Linked DNA regions of Danio rerio. The protein of the gene in region 1 purifies or fractionates together with the protein of each later gene. This does not show direct contact. Links are inferred from orthologs where the notes say so. Each region holds a gene or a part of one and is shown in the gene's direction. Other genes may lie near its edges.

Region 1 (6,603 bases):
GCTTCAAAATCACAGACTTCATTGCAATTTAAAATGGCATTTTGGATATTTTTTTCTGCCGGAAATACTGTTGTCATGAAAAAGAAGAAAAAAAGCATAAATAAAATTACATGTACTGTAGGAACGGTAGAGCAGAACATGTTGGCGGTTTTAAAACCTTGACTTTTACAAACCGCGGTAGACCTTGAAAACGGTTATTGTTCCATGTCTAGTGCCCTTTTCATCTTCAAGTGAACATTTTAATGAATAAACACATTTTAATGAATAAAGATGGTGCAATGATAAAATAAGTGTAATACCATGGTAAAACCATGACCGCATATAAAGATTTTGGTATAGTTATATATGACATATGGTTTTAGTTGAAAAACATTAAGTTTTGTCTTTATTTGTAAACCAAAAGCGTGTTAGTGTGGAGCGTGGAGTTGGTGCAGGAATGCACAAATCATATGAGATCAGTGATTAATTCTGAGCCGATGAAAACAATGGCTTATTTGCAATCAACAAACTAAAATATCCCAAAGAAATGAGGGATAAAATGAATACAAACCCATTGTTTCTCAGCCACTGTATTATTACACCTGCAAAAAAAAAAAAAACAGAATAAAGCATTAGGATATTTTTTGATGGTGTATTGCACAAGAAAACAGATAAATCATTTTGAGTCAGCAAATGAGAAGGGAAGAAAGGTTGCGTCAGAAAAAAAAAAACTAAAACTCTGAGAAAGTAAGGAGACACACTTACTCGAGCAGCTAACAGGTAACGTTAAATCATTACTAAAACACGATGTCTTCCTAAAAACCGGATCGTTGCTGTGTTTAGACTAATCTGCACTTAGTCCTTTCATATCTGTTACTTAAAACCCGTGTCATAAAAGCAGACTGTCGCTGTAATAGAAAACAAATCTTATACAATCTTGAATCAACTAGCATATCTCGCTAAGTATAATTATTTATTTTCGTAATGTGTCTTTTAATCATATATCCACATATATTATGAGGATAACGTATGTAAAACAGTCGCACTTACCACGAATTTAAAACAACAAAACAACTTTCGATACTCAGACAGGCACTGGATATAACTGATTATTTCCGGTTAAAAAATGTGTGTCTTATAAATAAAAGTCCTCTTTTTACTGACGTATATAATACATTTAAAATTACAAACACGAATGTTTAATTTCACTGATCATTAAAAATGTATTAAGAATATTTCCTGAAGCTATATGGCTGGCTACACGATAACGTTATAACAATTAATTATTATTATGTTTTGCTTGTTTTGAAACAAACACATGCCATCAAATATTTTCTTAAAATCATAAATGCATATGTCTTTTAGAAAAGTGAACGATCAACTAACATATCTAAATAAATATATAGGTCTAAAAAATCATTTAATCTCATAATTTAATAATGTTTTAGTAATGTAATTTAATCTCATAATGTTTACAATGTTGTATGCACTGTCTGCTTCCATCGTCATTCTATCATCAATGGGGCAAACAATTATAAAATAACTGTGTAACTGCAGTAATTTTGGAATTTTCTGTGTGTTTTGATGTTTATCATTTAATGTTTTGTCATTAATTGATTATCTTTAAACTAATTCTTAATTATCATTTTCTTTTACATGGTGTATTTAAGACAGGATATTTCTGAAATGCATTGTAGCTACTTTATGTTCAATGGGTAAAATGGGGTATATATATTTTTTCTTTTTTATATGACAAAATCTTATTATTTTTACTCAACACTTTTTATACTGTCATTTCATCTGAATATAATTTGTCATAATATCAAAAATGTCATTTATTAATGTCTCTATGGTGATCCCTGACACTGTATTATCTTGATCAATTTTAAAATTATCTTTTTAATTTTGAAAATTAGGTCATTATTAAAGTTATATTGTGATGATTTTTTACATTTCAGATGTCTATAAATGATTAAATTATCCACTTCTACAATTTCCAATAAAATCTCTTTGTTTAACTGCAGAGTTCATTTTTTAAAATTAATGTTGTCAGAGCAGAGCACCAGGTCTCATAAAGCAATTTGAAAGTGTACATAAACAGAAAACATTGTTGCGACAACTATAAATTGTCAAATTTGTTTACAGTATTTTACAGGCTGGCAAATGAGCAAATAGGGCTATGAATGAATTGGCTTTAAGCGCAACTCCACCAAACCAATGAAATCAACTCAACTCAGTGCAACCAAAATGGATTAATTTCACTGATCTCTATACTATTGTATGAGTGATTTGGGGTTTGGGAATTGGGGCCTCAAGCATCAAACCACCTCATAGTCACAATACATGAAGAACAAAGAAAACACTGTTTTATACACTGGAAGCTATCTATAAATATGTATATAAATGTAGCACATTTATCGAGCTATATCTAGATTGTAATGTAGGTTCTCTGAACTAAAATATATAGTTTTTAGCTGTTTCATCTAAACATCTGTAATAAATATTATCTGTAAAAAATGCATCCACATTTGGTTATTTGCATCCACATTTGTTTATATATATATATATATATATATATATATATATATATATATATATATATATATATATATATATATATATATATTCTGATATATTATATACAGAATATATTATATATATTCTGACTGAAGAGAGCATGGTTATTACCTGAAAAATTCAGCATATCCAACAAAATAAGAGAGATACATTTTAAGATCTTGCATTATGTATATTCTACAAATTCCCATGATTTAAATTTGTCTATAGAAGATATATTTCTGTATTTCTCAGGTAATGATCATGCTCTCGATCTTATTGTAAATTTTTTTTGTGTTACACTGTAAATTTTTTATACTCAAAAATAAGTTCCTAAAAACAATAACTATATTTAATACTTAAATTTAGTAATTTAATATATAATTTCGTAAAATATTGAATCTCTTAAGTTTATTAATAATAAGAAGAATAATGAATTTCTTAAAGCTTATGATAATCTTTTTTCTTATTGATTAAGGCTTTATATAAAAAAATTCTCTCTCTTTGTGTTTGTTCTGTGGGAAAGCGTCGGTGTGTCACGTGAGCAGGCGAGTCTCGAGACCGTAAACAACATGGCGCGTCACGAACCAGGAGAGTCTTAAAAACAACTCAGGGAAGCAGCGGCGCTAAGCTTATTGAACGTACAGGTATATAAACTTAGTTTTTGCAAACACTATTTTCTGTTTTTTTAACGAGGTCTGCAGGAACAAACCAACGGGTAAAAGAGCTGTCAAAGCGCTGTTACCATTTAACTGGTGAGTGCCTCTCTTTTGTAGGTCGCTTACAGTGCTAGCGTGAGCGCTAACTTCTAAAGAATGAGCTGTTTTAAGTGCTGTTTTGATGTAATACGTAGACAATCTTATATCTTTCTTTTTTAAACTACTGGTCTGTAAATATAAAACCGTTATATGAAATGTTCGCAATATGTCATTTGCAGTTTTAGCCTGTCAATTTAGCATGCTCACCTGTCAAGTTACATCACAGTCTATTGTCAACAATTACTGTCCTGATTTTTAATCGCTTATTAAATGTCATAATTCAATGAAGTCAATTAAACAATATGATGTTAAAAACTGACTTAGGCCTACCTTTCAATTGATAAACTACATCAATGTTAGTTTGGTGGTATTCATTTTGCATTAATCAAACATATGTTTTTGAACAGACAAATACATATTTAAGCGGAAAATAACACTGTTTGCAATATATCATTTATTTTATGTGACCCTGGACCACAAAACCGTCAAAACAGTGTCGATTTTGCAATCGTCTGAAGTGTCAGTCATCAGAATCATAATATTTAAGTTTCCATTAATGTTTACTTTGTTAGGATCCTCAGGATCAACTATTTGAAAATCTGAGAGTTAAATTAGAAGAAGATCACATTCAAAGTCTAAATTAATTGCTCATCAATGTATATTACTAATCAAAAATTCAGTTTTTATTAATTTACAATAGAAATTTATGAAATATCTTAATGTAACTTCATTCTTATGTAATATCTAAATTATTTCTGGGATGAAACGAAAATGGCTATTAGCAAATATATATATATATATATATATATATATATATATATATATATATATATATATATATATATATATATATATATATATATAAGAAAGCTTCTCTAAAGTCCTGTTTTGTAAATGGTTGAACTTTTTTGGCACTCACTTAAGTGTACTGTGTACATATACACTACCATATCAAAGTTCACTTGGCAACATGTTTTTAATATTAATTTATTAATTAAAATAATTAAAAGTAAAATTACAGTATTTCAAATTAATTCCTGCTCTTTTGCAGTTTTAAAATGGCCTGACTAAAAACAATGTCACAGTTTCTCCGAATATATTAAGCAGCACAATTATTTTATCACCAAATGCTGCCCAGGACTGTTGCTGGAAGCTACTGGTCTATTGTAATTGTTGAAAGACACAGATGATTGGAACTCTTACTATTTAAGCACATAATATCATTTACAGTTATTTAAAAGACAGTGAGATGACGCAGTGGCGCGGTAGGTAGTGCTGTTGTCTCACAGCAAGAAGGTCACTGGGTCGCTGGTTCGATCCTCGGCTCAGCTGGCGTTTTTGTGTGGAGTTTGCATGTTCTCCCTGCGTTTGCGTGGATTTCCTCCGGGTGCTCCGGTTTCCCGCCACAGTCCAAAGACATGAGGTACAGGTGAATTGGGTAAGCTAAATTGTCCGTAGTGTATGAGTGTGTGTGTGTGTGAATGTGTGTGTGGAAGTTTCCCAGTGATGGGTTGCGGCTGGAAGGGCATCCGCTGCGTAAAAATCTGCTGGATAAGTTGGTGGTTCATTCCGCTGTGGCGACCCCGGATTAATAAAGGGACTAAGCCGACAAGAAAATGAATTAATGAAGCTGAGGTTCGAACCAGCGACCTGCTTGCTGTGAGGCGACAGCACTACCTTCTGCGCCACTGCCTCGCCTTGTTAAGAAATATATAAAACAATTTATTTTTTTATTATTGTATTATTAAATTTATTAAATTATTTAAAATATATATTAGTGATAGGGCAAATAAAAATCTTTTCCTGGGCAATAAAAAAAATCCTAAGCTTTTGGCTCTTTATGAATTTAAAATTTAACTCATAACGGTCTTAAAAATGTCTTAAAAATCTTACATTTAACTTGGTGAAACTTGAAGAAACTCTTTTATAGAATATCTTGCTTTTTCATCTTGAGTGTAATTGCCTGTATTGCTGTGGAATAAATCAATGATTTGGCAGACAATCAGTCTATGGGCTCTCAGTCCAGTTCTGGGATGTCCGGTCGGGGCTCTGGCAACAACCCAGACCAGTCAGAACCAGAAGCCAACCAGAACGCCAATCAGACGGGTCGTACACAGGCTGAGAGACAGTCAGGATCTGAAGAGGACGTTGACTTAGCACAAGTTCTGGCGTACTTACTGCGAAGGTAAATCTATAACCTTCTGAACCTATGAGATAGTGGAGATACTGTAAAACATCCTGGAACATATTGTAAACCTGCTTTGCATTTCCTCCACATGGGTAATGCAAATTGTTTTACCTTTTTGTCTACTCTAGGGGCCAGGTACGTCTGGTCCATGGAAGTGGAGCAACAGGCCTACAGCTTGTGCAGTCATATTCAGACTCTGATGAGGACAGTGATGGGGCTTGGGATGGGAGGTTAGGTCATCGATATGACCCTCCAGGTAAATAATGAACTGTGTGCATGATTAATTTATGCTTTTTTACTTAGTTGACACCCCAAGTTACAGTGCAGTGTTTAGAAATTATTATGCATTATTTATTTTATTTTACTTTATTTTATTAACATGGTATGATAAAACACAGGGTGTAGTAATATGCAAACATTATGCTTAGATGCGTTTTTGGTACAGCCAGGAGAAAAAAATCATATCTTTTTAATTATACTGGTTTACTAAATCAATTATGTTTTTGTCTTTATATGCATTCAATAATAAATACAGTTCTACGCAATGGTTTGAACTGCATACATTTATACTAAAAGTTAAAAATTAACAAGAGACTCACTTGCTCACTTTCCTTTGCTTTAGTTCCTGATTTATCAGGGGTTGCCACATTGTAATGAACCAACAATTACTGCGGCATATGTTTTATGCAGCAGATGGCCTTCCAGCTGCACCCCAGCACTGAGAGTACACTAACTCGTGAACCACTAGTGCTGGGAAACAACTGTTGAAATCAGATGCCAAAACTGTTGGAAGTCAGATGCTTTTTACTTAAATGCTTGACAAAAATGGAAAAAAATGTGAACTTATATTGCACATAAGAAGAATGCAAGGAGCATCAAAACAGCATTTTGAGATGAATTTTATCATAAACTGGACAGAATTTGAAAGATGAGATTTTTCAGATTGAGTTTTACACATTCAGTTTAAATCTGTACTGTATTTGTTCATAACATGTAAGAAACTGAAAGACCTTTACTGAAACTTTCAGGTAGAAATCAGTTATCTACTATAGTTGCTAAATACACATAAACTATTAAATAATAACTGACTGAAAAATAGCAGTTTTAGAAATTACTACTACA
Region 2 (5,962 bases), on another chromosome or scaffold:
TGCTAATTTTTGATGGAGAAACTAGATGGAATTAAAATTTAGCATAATAATAAATGTTGCAATATTTCTGGTTCTACAAATATAACCGGTTCATGCTAACATATTTTAAATTAATTGTAATAATGTCAACAAATGAAACATTGTACATTGTTACTAAAATGTTTTGTGCTTTTAGAGTGTATGGTGCTGTTTGTCACTATTCCGAGGCTCATTCTCTGACAGAGTTTTTTTTTTTTACGAGCAAAGCATATTTTATTTTAAGTATTTTGTATCAAATGTTAGGTGCATCTTTTATCTCAGTAGCCATAAGTTTGAAACTTAATTATAATTATGTTCCTTATAATTGAGCATTATTGGGATAATTACTAGTTCGCATGTATGTATAGTGCTCAGCATAATTGAGTACATGTGAGAAATATTATCTATTTTCATCCAGTGAATATGGGTAATAAACATTGGTGCATTTGAACAAAACAGATTTATTAAACGGATATATTTATTAAATTATTTTTTTTAGTCAAAGAACATCTTTAGAAATGGAAAGACAATACAATTAAATTCATTCAAAGTATTGCAAAAAAAAAAAATGACAAACTACAACATTTCAACAAAGTTGTTCAAAATATTATATGTTGTTTAATATTTTTCCCTAACATATCAATTTGGGCTACTAATTTTTAAACCTTTATTGTAAGTTATTTTGTTGGATTTGCTCCAGATTTGGAATCAGTACTGACTAAACTAATGTTTATGCACAAATATAATATTGTAAAGCATCCTACAGGACATATTAATTTAAATGAGAGATTTGTGAAGGGTGTACTCATATGCTGAGCACTGTACTTTTAAATATTAACACAATGTCGAACATAACGCTAAAAAACAAATAGTTTAATAGTGCAACAACTGAAATCGGATTTACTTCACTTGAATCTAATTCTAAATATAAATAATTGCACATTAAATACGTTTTTTTTTTTTTTCAAAATGAGAATCCTTTGTCTTCTGGGGGCCTGTGATAAGTGTTATAAATCTCTGATAAGTGTTTATATTAGGACTATTTTGGATCTGTGGGGCAAGTCCCTGCTGCAGTGCATGCATAATTTGTCATATCTCTGAACAGAGAGAAGCAGCAGTTTTATTAATTTAAGGGCCACGAAAGTCCTCTCTCTCAGCAGGTTGTTTTCACACCACGAGTTTGAAAAAAGCCAGGAAAGTGGGTGGGTCCAGATGTGTTTAGGTGGGAGTGTTGAGTGCCAAAAGAGGGAAGGGTTTGCATAAAAAGGAGAGTTTCGCTACATGCACACACTAATTTTCACAGCGGCAACACAAACGCAGGGGAGATAGACAGTGATTCGGAGAGCAACATTTACAGCAGATCTGAGAGCTGTGTGGAAGTGGAGGATTTTCAGTCCATAATATTGTAGTGATATTACTGTAAACATAGAAAATAAATCATTTTGACTATGGTATGTCTTCAAAAACTGAATTAGTACTGCTGACGATACTAACTGACTTTGCCATCTAAATAAACATAAACAAAGAACGTTGATCGTACACTTACCAAATATGTAGAGACAGGACAATCAACACCAACTGGAAACGCATCATTTTTAAAATCCGGATTTCAACATTTCCAGATTCAAAAAGGTCTCGGGTAAAAAATGTTCCTTACAAACATATTCCATTCTGTCACGTGTTAGAAGACCACTGTAATCCACACATATGGGTCTCTATGCGATCAGTGCTTTCATTATGGGAAAACGGAAACAAAACTTTTGTCGCGGCACATTTATAAATGCAACACTGTTGACCCATGTCTCTGAACAATTCTTCTGTTACTACTTGTTTGAAATGGGGTTGGCAACACAACTTGGTGTCTCTAAATTCTGTAACAGGTTAAATGAGTCTTCGAAGCTATATCATGCATATTAATGAAGTCGCATCTCATTCACAATAGAGTGCGCTGATTGGTTCAAACCAAGTCTTTCTCATGAATTAATAGACAGATGTGCTGAAAACTCAACGTCGCTTTGTACCAGCCGGTACAGACAGCCAATCTCTATGCTGGAATTTACACAATGATCTTATCGCTGTGACATCGCTTTAAAATGTCTTTTTAAATCGGAAGAACAAATTTTCTCCAAACAGCGCAAAAACAACCATTTTTAACTTTGTAGTCAAATGCTCTTTGGTGTTTCGTGACCCTTTGACTATATGCTTTAATATTATGGAACTTTTTTACCTTAACCCTGGATCACCAAATCCTGACATTGTGTGCTTACTGTTTTTACTCATCTCCTTTTTTATATAATGTTATACATTTTCAGAAAAGCCCAAATTACCAGAGAATTACACAAATGAGACCTGGCAGAAACTAAAGGAGGCAGTAGAGGCCATACAGAACAGCACTTCAATAAAGTACAATCTAGAGGAGCTCTATCAGGTCGGTGCTATAATAAACTAGCTTTAATATTTTTTTGTAATATTATACGTGGAATCTAATGTTTACTTGTTCTTTCAGGCTGTTGAAAACTTGTGCTCTCATAAGATATCTGCCAAGCTGTATAAACAGCTCAGAGTGGTTTGTGAAGACCACATCAAGGCACAGATTGACCAGTTCAGAGAATATCCTTTTCCTTGCTACACTTTGTATTTATTAATCTGCTGGAATGTTAGATTTTGAGTAAAAGAGAAGAGCACAAACCTGGGCTCAACATACACAAATCTGCAGGCCAATAGTTCTGCTTTTCTTTTTAATTAACATAGTGTTATTATGCTCTCTCGTTCAAGCGTTTGGGGTACATCATATTTTTGAAAGAATCTTCTTTCAAAGTTTTCACATATTTACATTTAATTACAGCAAGGTTGTATTTTCACATTTAAGCATTTATAGCATTTAATATAAAATGACATTTTCATTTAAAAACCTTATTTTAATGTATGTTTTGAAATAGAAACTTTCTGAATTTAAAGCAGCATTAATACTTTATTCAGTATTAACATGATCCTTCAGAAATCATGTTGCGTTATAAATATTTTAAATATTATTCATTATGCTTATTTAATAAATATTTTTCAAAAATTTTATATATAAAAAAGCTTTCATTTAACATCAGTGCTGAAAGTACGTATTTGTTTTTCTTCAAAAAAATGTTTGCAATAGGGCTGCACGACATTGGAAAAATGGACATTATTTAGTTTTTCTGCTATATTTGTTGCGATATGAATATAAATTCACAGGAAAACTCTAGTAACTCTATTTGGAAATAATTCATCATTTCAGTTTGGCCCAATCCCAATTCTACCTCCAAACATTCTGACACTCGATGACATTCGAGTACCCTGTAAAAAAAGTCTAGTGGCTGGGAATGAGCTTTTTACAGCGTCTGCTATAATGTTGATGTTGTTTTTGGTGTGTTTACATATGTAAAAATATGGCCATGGTATAAATGCGCAGTATAGTTACAATCTTATTGCCACATTATATTGTTATGATAACATTGATATATGCCTTCAGTGATTTCCTGAAGATAAATACCAAAAAATAACACAACTGGAATAAATACAGCAGTCACGATCGTCTAATCTCATATGAAGCAAGAGATCGCTATGACATATGATGGCGTGTGCAGGTGTTGTCGTGCTGTTCCAATTCTTAGGGGTACATTTTGAAGCCCTTCCCCTTTTTTAGGGGCCAAGGGGAAGGGGTAGGGGTACAAAAATAAAATTGGGATCGGGCCTTTGATTGAGAGTTTGACTTAGGGATTTGTAGGTGAGTGGTTCTGCATAACAAACACAAAATTACACACACAAAGTCATTTTGCAAGTTTGCAAGGTAGCTTGTGTGCCAAAAATATGTTTGCTTTATAAAAATAATGTTCAGTTAAATTATTTGTTAAAATAAGATTCAGTCAAATAAAAAAAAAATCTCTACTTTTTAATTTTGACCTCAAAAAAACTTTTGCTAGAAAACTGACATACTTTATTATTTAAATTTGTAGGGTAACATTTCTGAGAAATTCTGAAATAATTTTAGGTGAATGGTCATTTATTTAGACTGTCTTGTTTATCCCAAGCTAATTTTGATGTACAATAACTGTGGTGTGAAAGAATTTCTTAACTCTTGCTTTACGGATGCCCTAGACAGTGTTCTGTTCCTCAAGAAAATAGACAAATGTTGGCAAGATCACTGCAGACAAATGGTCAGTCAGTAATTTACTCTAGATATCTTTAATTCTGCTTTTGTTAAAATTTGATGTCTTTGTTTAATGAAATGCTTGCATTCTCTGTTTTCTAGATCATGATTAGGAGTATATTTTTGTTTCTGGATCGCACATATGTTTTACAAAATTCTATGCTGCCATCAATCTGGTGAGTGTCTCTCTTGCAGAAGGATATTAAATTTGTAACACTTGCACTGTCACCCTTGCTGCTGTCTTTATTTACTACCTGTGCTTTACTGCTCCTGCTACTGGTGATTAAAGGTACTCTTGTGCTTCATCTTCAGGGACATGGGCTTGGAGTTGTTTCGTTTCTATATCATCAGCGACCTGAAGGTGCAGAGTAAGACAATCGATGGGATTCTGCTTCTTATTGAGAGGGAGCGAAGCGGCGAGGCTGTAGACCGCAGTCTTCTGAGGAGTCTTCTGAGCATGCTCTCTGACCTGCAGGTTTGGACAATTTATTTAAAGTTTGGGCTTAAATTGGGCTGCCTGCGGACTCTTAAAATGTCTTAAATTTTGAAAGCTAAATTTTAGGCCTTAAAAAGTCTTAAATTTACTGAAATATTGTTGTAGGTCATTAATCATTTAAAAAAGCTCTTAATTTTCCTCTGTCCAACTAAAACTACCCAATTAGGCCAACACCCATCCAATTACCAACAATATATTTAAATAAAAGGGTTTTTTTTGCAAAGATATAGTCAAAACAGCTATTAGACATTTTTACAGAAGATTGTCTATCAGGAAAATAATTTTCTCATGGCAAAATATCCCTTTACATGATCTTCCATTTATACAAAAACTATTTACAGAAGGAGGAGTGGATGTAATATTTATAAATAGGCATGAAACCTAGGGTTTTATAACTAAAATGCAGTTGGTTAAAAATATGTTGAAAAAAATGGACATTAAAATATGTGGCTAAGAAATAATTATAGTCCAACAGGACCATTACAAAAATCAAAAAGTGTTTAGCTCTTTACAAGTCTAAAATTTTGTTCATAATGGCCTTAAAATGGTCCTAAAGTCCTAAAATTTGACTTGATGAAACCTGCCAAAATAATATTAATGTTTCCAAGTTTATTTAAATGTTTTGTTTGTTACAATGTTCAGCTTAAACAGTTTTGTTGAAGCTTTTAAATAGAGAGTACTCAATATTATGTCATATAACATTTTTTATTAAAAACACATGTTGCATATTTTTAAAGCATTAATGAAAGTTATTATTTTACTAATAAACTTTAAGTAGACCATCCAAGGCTACATTCACATTGTGAGGCTTAGTGCTCAAATCAGATTTCTTCTCAGATCTGATTTTTTTGCATGGCTGTTTGCAATGCTCTTGTAAATGTGGCCAATATCAGATTTGCAGTGTGAACAGATCATGGTCCTAAACTGACCCGCATACGCAAAAGTGCATTACGGAGAGCACATGTCTAATTATCCACACACTTGAGTGCTGCATAAGTAAGCCCGTTGTCAGATCATGCTTATATCATTATTACCCTTTTCACAGACAACCGTGGTGTATTTCGGCATTTGAGACCTAAAATGTCTCCTGTGATTAAAAAAAAAAAAAAAAAAAAAAACCCTGATCGTTTGTGATTTATGACAGCCGTGGTGCATGGCGCTCTGACCACCGGTGTAGCGGACTCATCAAGGGTTAATGAGCTGTGAATGCGGAGTTGGTTTATCTCCGTTTGCGGAGTTATTTAATTTCACTTTTGTTATAAACAGCA

Evidence for each region. Proteins that work in one complex are often made in the same cells at the same time.
Region 2: the proteins of dcaf11 (region 1) and cul4b purify together in Homo sapiens (affinity purification with mass spectrometry; 9 studies listed by BioGRID and IntAct, counting the BioPlex papers as one, with this or other methods). This does not show direct contact. The link is inferred for Danio rerio from reciprocal best matches to the Homo sapiens genes DCAF11 and CUL4B.

The regions. Positions count from the first base shown.
Region 1 is NC_133199.1:14,442,748-14,449,350, reverse strand, and holds the start of dcaf11 (DDB1- and CUL4-associated factor 11), read left to right. Parts: upstream 1-3,079; 5' UTR 3,080-3,290; intron 3,291-5,291; 5' UTR 5,292-5,302; coding exon 5,303-5,478; intron 5,479-5,609; coding exon 5,610-5,737; intron 5,738-6,603. Other genes in the region: eloca (elongin C paralog a), read right to left, coding at 551-554. UniProt on the Homo sapiens protein: May function as a substrate receptor for CUL4-DDB1 E3 ubiquitin-protein ligase complex.
Region 2 is NC_133189.1:38,066,481-38,072,442, forward strand, and holds part of cul4b (cullin-4B), read left to right. Parts: intron 1-2,330; coding exon 2,331-2,446; intron 2,447-2,524; coding exon 2,525-2,628; intron 2,629-4,135; coding exon 4,136-4,205; intron 4,206-4,300; coding exon 4,301-4,374; intron 4,375-4,510; coding exon 4,511-4,673; intron 4,674-5,962.